Linked DNA regions of Schizosaccharomyces pombe. The gene in region 2 interacts genetically with the main gene of each other region. Each region holds a gene or a part of one and is shown on either strand. Other genes may lie near its edges.

Evidence for each region.
Region 1: of spt6 (region 2) and cut1, extra expression of one is lethal in a mutant of the other (dosage lethality), as found in Schizosaccharomyces pombe (one study listed by BioGRID).

Annotation. Positions count from the first base shown.
Region 1 is NC_003421.2:641,817-645,576, forward strand, and holds the start of cut1 (separase/separin), read left to right. Parts: upstream 1-1,592; 5' UTR 1,593-1,995; coding exon 1,996-3,760. Other genes in the region: taf5 (transcription initiation factor TFIID subunit 5), read right to left, coding at 1-108, 322-628. UniProt on the Schizosaccharomyces pombe protein: Caspase-like protease, which plays a central role in the chromosome segregation by cleaving the rad21 subunit of the cohesin complex at the onset of anaphase. During most of the cell cycle, it is inactivated by securin/cut2 protein.
Region 2 is NC_003424.3:4,215,243-4,219,002, forward strand, and holds the start of spt6 (transcription elongation factor Spt6), read right to left. Parts: upstream 1,620-3,760; 5' UTR 1,562-1,619; coding exon 1-1,561. Other genes in the region: ATP-dependent RNA helicase Has1, read right to left, coding at 2,176-3,760. UniProt on the Schizosaccharomyces pombe protein: Histone H3-H4 chaperone that plays a role in maintenance of chromatin structure during RNA polymerase II transcription elongation thereby repressing transcription initiation from cryptic promoters.

The DNA.
Region 1 (3,760 bases), on a different chromosome or scaffold from region 2:
TGCGGTCTTCTGCGACATGGCTTGGAAGACTCAGCGATTTTAAGTTTTTTACATCAAAGTCATGAAGATCAGTATGATCGTCTTTGAAGAGTTCGTAAAATTGCTTTGCTATAGCACGTTAGTAAAATTATCATTTATCCTTATAAAGAATTAAATATGGGTGGTCAAGTGGAATGAGTTTCAGAAATAAAGACAAGTTGTAAACTCAATAGATAAAGAAACTAATAAGTATTTAGAATAGTTCAAATACCCCTCTTGTTCGTAGATCATCGAAACAAACATGTAACAAATTCGTAACCTCCTCCAATATGACCAACTTACCAGCTTCATAATGATCTTGAGACAAGAGATTAAGATATGAGTGAACAAATATAGGAAATAATATCCTGTGAAGTTCAGCTTTGTACAATTCTAACGAACTATCCACCCAGTCTCGTAAGATCGTATACGTGTGTGTGTATGCATCTGGAGTTTCCTCAATGCTTTTTAACTTCTCCTCTACTGACACGCCAGAACCCGATGCTTCCAAACGAAGCATCGCCTCGGTCCTTGAGTATCCCTTCTTCGCAAGGTAATCCAGAACAATTCTGTTCAGATCCTGCGGTTGCGGCCCATTAGTGGCAGACATGGTTAAATTCTCCAATACTCTAGCTTGAAGAAATTAATTAGAATCCAAATATAAATCTACAAATGACCGTGATTCATATAATTACCTGCGCAGAGCTCAAAGCAACTTGCTAGGAAGTAGCATATGTCGAGTTCGTGTCTATTAACATACCATTGTGTACCACGCTAAATTGGGAATTTGCAGGATTTATGAATAACTGAAATTTGGAAAGGTTCCACAGTGTCTGTGAGCGTTTTGATGTCGAAATCCTATCTAAATTACTATTTCTTTTGTCCTACTCAAAAATGAACTGTCTATGAAATTGTTTTAATGTCAACACAGGATTGCGAGGCAATGAACGCTAGAAAAAAAAAATAAATAAATAAAAGTTTTGCATAGTAAAACTTTTTCAATTAGATACTTTTTAAAATTCTTTTTTGATTTTCAATTCGGTTTTAAAAACTTTCACTTACTTTTTTTTTAGAAGTTTCATCCCAATTTCGGGATGTTTATAATTTTTTAATTAAATTATAGTAGGGCCCCTTATTAAAATAAAACTAAATGTTGGGTTGAAATTTAAATAGGGAAAATGTAGAAGTTTTTTTTAAAAAATTCAAAAAATTGGGAAATTTCATATTTCCTTCAAAATCATTAGTTTATAACAAAAATTGATGTAGCATTGATAAAATGAGTTTATCAGAAATTATATGTTTTTTTTCCTGTTACAGATTTGTATGGTTTTGAGTCTTAATCGGTTTATTTATTTATTGATATATTTATTTACATTATTGAAATTTACAAATAGTAGGTTGCGATGAAGTAATGGACTGTAGATAATAACTGTAAACTATCAATTATTTACATTCATTTTTAATTATATTTAATTTTCTTCTTTACAGTTTTCTTTCTTTTGGACCAGTTTTAGGGATTTGGTGGTAAGTACTGTGTTTTCATTTGCCTTAACATCCAAAGCATCCTTGCTACCAACTAGCCTATCTTCATCCAGCGAGACGACTTGACAGTTTTTTCGTTTTAGACGAAATAAAAACCAACAGCTCCAAATTTCGACTATTGCAATGTTCTAATTAATGCTGATAATATTCTATTGGTTGGGAAGATCGATTAATCTACTTTTCATAAGCATATAATAAAACATCTACATGATTTTTAAGTCACTAATATTTTCCTCTTCTCAATAATTAGTAATATAACTTTGCGAACTGAAAATCACTGTCAAATTATTAAATCTTATATTTTGGTCGATATTTGCTATTGGCTTAGTTATTTCTTGCAACCTATTCTTCATGAACGGCGTTAAATAATTTAAATCCCTTTTATTGTTGTAACTGTTGCTGGTTAATATTTTTTACTATTCATTCGTTTCCATTATGTCTACAAGGTCAATCGTTACTAGTAAAGTTTCTTGGACTCCAGAGAAGTTCATTTCAGCTCTCAGTTATCCTGAGCATTGCTCTATTACTCTCGTTAAGCGACTCAAGGCTTCTGTAAAATTAAAGGACCTCAAGCAAAATATATCTCGTGATGCACCTTCGTGGACGTTCGAGCATTTGTTTGTGGCTTTCAAATGTGCAGTCAGTAACTTAGCTAAGCAATGGGCGGAGCTATCCACTACAGATAAGGAGAAAACTAGAAGGATGTTTTGTACACCTTCTAGATTAAATACGGCTCACCGTCCCGAGGTTTTCTACCTGTTAGAATGCTGTACATATATTCTCGAACAAATGCAGGTGGTAACCAAAAATACAAGTCATTTGTATGATTGCATCCGTAGCGGGGTTTCAATTTGTAATCGGCTCCTGGACATGGAGATTTTTGAACCAGCTATCAGTCTTTTGATGAAAACTCATAAAAACCTTATAATTTTACTGACATATCGGGACCACGATGCCATCCCTACTGCTACCCTTCTTAATCCCACTTTAGATGTTTCAGAAATCCAATTAGAAAGCTGCCTTTTTGTTCCTATGGTTCCTGCCTCTTATTTCTTAAATATAGGCACTATCGTTGTCACATTTCAGCTCAATGTATTACGATGTTTATCTTTAAGTCAAATTAACGGTTTGTCTTTGAATACAATCAATAACTTACAAAGCGAAGATGGCCCTTTTCAATGGATTGAAAGAAGCTTTCCTTCCCAGGTTCAATTGGCCAATTCGAGAAGAGAAATTTTAGCTCGTTTGTTGACAAGATTTTCCATGATACAAAATAACGCCTTACAATCGTTCAAACTTTTAATCCTCTCTATAGCTTTATGGTTGAATATTCTTTCTTCCCAGAGAGCTGACGATAAAGAGTTTGATGTAAATCAGCTTGAAACGAGAATCCTCCAACTTTTCTCAAAAGTTGTCCAATTATGTAAAAGCGAAGATATTGAAGGATCTATTTTAAATAAAGATATGACACAACTTCATCATCTTCTGGAAAATTTATCAAAAGAATCGAGGTTGCATATTTTGCTTCAACTTTCTCAACTTTATTATAAATATAATGATTTCCAATTAAGCGCTGCATATGTCATTAGAGGCTATTCTTTGTCATTTGAAGACATCAGTTTTAAATTAAAATTTTTATTATTTTCTTTTCGATTATCAATTCACGATAATAGCATTTGTTTTCCGTTCAATTTAATCCAAGAGTTGTCGTCACTTCAGCAGCTCTTTGTCGAAAATGCTTTACCATATTCAGAAGCTCTACATTTATTGGATTCAATAGAGCGATCATTTCGACTTTTCAATGACTCGACGGTTTTTGATGATACTGTATTTGCTTTGAACATATCAGAAATTTTATCGTGGATACTCTCATCGGTTGTGAGGGATATCCTTGTCGAGGATGAGCTTTTAAATCTCCAACTTAAAATAAGAAAGTTTTTGATGTTTACATTTCATATAATTAGGTCATTTAGTGAGTTGACTAAATTTCAAAGTTCTCTGGAAGGCTGTTTAAATCTCGCAGCCTACTATGAAGATGCTGAATTTCCTCAAAAGCTTTCCAATCATCTTTACAACTTGTGTGTAAAATCTTCTAATGTTAATTATGCACGTGAATGCATAAGTTTGAGTATCAAAATTGCTGTATCACATAAATTGACTAATGATGAAACATATCTCCTGAAAATTTTAAAAAATTTTC
Region 2 (3,760 bases):
GAATAATTTCCTCTGCTAAAACTCTACGTGCCTTTTGAAGTACCTGCTCAGGTGATGACAGCTCATTTGTCACATAAGTACGACTTAGTTCTTCAGGCGAAAGGGTGTTGTCTTCCACAAAACGGAGACGAGCACCCTGTGCTACGTTGAACGAAAAGTCTTTAGCACTCATACCAAATTCTTTGACGAGATTGTAAAGTGATGATTTTCTAAATTTTTCAAAAAAAGAATACTTCGAACCTTGTGGACGACGAAGACCAGTACCCATCAGTAAGGCACGATCACGGATTTGTTCAGAATAAGTGAAATGTATGTAATCATTAAGGTCATCAATTGCATCAAGAGAGGAAGCAGCTTCACAGAAGGGAACTACTAAATCATCATTAATTCCCAAATCAGAGTACAATTTTAGGATATCTTGCTTCTTAGAATGAAGTGACCAAAACTTGGTGCAAAGGAAAAAAATATTCCACAAATCATTTTGACTTAATAAAGGAGTAATTGTGTTCCTCTCACGATTGTTATGCACTATATAATCACGACGGTGCTGCCATATGAAGGGTACTTCAAGACTATCACGAATAAAGAAGTGAACTACATAGCGAACAGCAGTTTGAAACGGCTCATATAGTTCAGCATCAATATCACGCCTATTTTTTAAGAGATAATCGATAATCCAAGCAACTTGTTCCCTAAATTCATCTTCAGAGCAATCAATGTTCCTCTTCATATAAAGTTGCATACGTTCAGGTTCATCCGTGATTCTTATGATCTCATCCTCCTCGGTAAGCATTTTATCTTTTAGTTCACTGGGCTCAAAAATGGTCTTCAAACTGACAGACTCTTCTAACTCGTCTTCAGCATCTTCATCTTCAAGGGCAAATGCGTAATCTGTTCCATCGCCAAAGACTTCGTATATTTGTATATAATCATCATCCGATATTCCTAAAGCCTCAGGTCGTACTGATTCTATGGGCGGACCAGTCTCATATTTTTCTTCTTGACGCTCTTCGTCTTCAAATTCGTCTTGTTCAATGAAATCTGCAAATTCGTCGATAACGCCAGCGCGGTGGCCTTGCGTGCGATTAGGAGCTTCATCATCGACTTCGTTTTCTTCTTCTTCTTCTTCCTCAGAAAATATGTTTTCAAGAGTCTCTTCTTGATCTCTTCCACGTTTTAAACGTCTCAACTTAGAAAAACGAGAGCCTTGGCCTGTATTCTCCATGACAAGTTCCAGATCTTCCTCATCAAGCATATCTTGATCAGCAGTACTTTCGGCATGCTTCTTACGTTTCTTTTTGCGCCGAATTTCCTGAGGAACTTCGTCTTCTTCATCTTCGACGATGAAACCCTCTCTAACTTGTCGCTCAGCTTCTTCATCAGTTGCAGATTCTTCAGAAGAGTCATTCTCATCATTGTCATTATCTAAAGGAATTCCATCCTTTTCCTCTTCATTGTTGTTGTCATCCACATTTGTGCCTTCTCCATTTTCAGCTGGATAACCATCCTCATTTTTATCACCATTGGTGGTTGGTGACCCGACAACTTCGTTTTCACTCATTCCTATTTCTATAGTGGACGAAGGAACGGCTTCTCGAAGGTTTGCGGTCAATTGTGGCAGAGAAATACAATACTTGAAGATGCGCTTGCTTTAGATGGTGATATTTTAATAAAAGTTAATGCAGCATCATAAAACATTTAAGGAGCACATTAAAATTCACTAGTATGTTATAAGACAACGCAACGTGCTTTGTAGTTCTAACAAATATTCAATCGTACATATAAGCATAAAAATAAAGTGCTTTGCAAGAGCTAATATGCAATGCTGCTAATCTGAATTGTTGTTACAAAATACCACAGTCCTTGATATACAAGACAGACGTTGTTGTTACGATCACGACCATTCGTTGCAATGATTAGTTTTGGCTTTATTTATAGCCGATATCAAACTCCCTTTGAATAACTTACACGGGTATTTACAATAAAAATTATGAAATCCATTATTTCAAACACGTAAACCTTTTGAGCGAAAACAACCCTATTTACCAATATTAAAAGGATGAAAGGAAAAAAAAATTCCCTTCAACCATTCAAAATCCAAGTCATTTGTAAAAGCCAGAAAAACCGAATTAAATAAACCTTTTAAATGAAATCAACTTCTAATATGAACGAAGTTTAGCGGCTCCATCCACGCTCTTTGTCTTGAGAAATAGCTGATGATCTTTGTTTTGAATAAACATCAACGTGATTCTTCTTATTATAACCCGCACGTCGTTCTTTTTTGTCTGTTCGTCCACTAGCACCAATAGTGATATTGACGTTTGGAGGATGAGCAAAACCGAATGATTTAGCAACTTTTGCGAGATCCAATTTATTAATATCAAAGATAGATTTTAAAGAATATGAGGCATAGGCCTGCAAGTAGGAACGGTATCCATCCTTTGCAGACTGCTGCAAATAATAATTTTTGGAAACAAGCTTTTCGAGCTGAGATTGAACATTAGCAACTTTATTGGCAGGAAATTCAAACTCATTCAAAGAAACCTTGGCAGTTTTCAAATAACGAAGGAAACCGAGCTCAGAAGGAGCGAGGAACATAAGGGATTTACCAGTTCCCTTTGTTCCTCTAGCTGTACGACCTACACGATGAATATAATCTCGGGGGTCATCAGGAGGATCGTACTGCACGATCCAGTCAACGGCTGGAATATCTAACCCGCGTGCAGCAACATTGGTGCAAAGTAGTATTCCCTTTTCGGCATTGCAGAATTCAAAAAAGGTGTTTGTACGACGCTGTTGCTTTTGCTTGCCATGAAGATCAAGTACTGGTAAATCTATATAGTTCAGTAATTCTGCCATATATTTGACAGAAGCACAAGATGACATGAAAACAATAACTTTTTTCTTCAAATTGCGTTTTAAGAAGGAAAATAAAAGAAGAAACCGTTTGTCAGAATCAACTACAACATAACCTTGCTCCAATCCTTCAACGGTAGAGGTAGGCTTACCAGAATCAACGTTAACATACAAGGGTCCGGGCTTAAGAGAGATACGAGCAAGATCTTCAACTTTAGTTGTCTGTGTAGCAGAAAACAGGAGGGTTTGTCGATTTTCCGAGGGAAGGATTTTCATGATTTGTCTCATTTCGTCCTCAAAACCAATCTCCAAAATTCTGTCGGCTTCGTCAATCACTAAGGATCGTAAATTGCGGAATACAAATCCTTTGGTATTTTGCAAGTGATCCAGTAAACGACCAGGAGTAGCAACTAATAGGTTAACACCTTTCACCAATTTATCAGCTTCAGCACGGCGATTAGCACCGCCAATGACGATACCAAATGTTTGGTGATGGTATTTCAACAACTCCTTTGCGACACCAAAAATTTGAAGAGCCAATTCACGAGTAGGAGATATAATAATAACACCAGTACCATTACGAGGCTTAAATTTCAATGCATAAAGCATTTCAATGGTAGGAATTAGAAAAGCCAAAGTTTTACCACTACCAGTTTTAGCTGCACCTAAAACATCACGACCGGCCAAAAGAGGAGGAATAGAGCGCTTTTGAATTTCTGTCATCGTTTCAAAGCCCATTTCTTTAATTGCCTTTTGGATGTTTTCAGAGAGTTGTAGGTCTGAAAACTTTTCAATATCCGAAGTGGAAGAAGCGTTCAGGTTGACAGATTTTTGAACACGCTCATCTTCATTTTCATTATCTAATTCCTCACTTTCTGATTCTACTGAAGTATTTTGGTCAGCA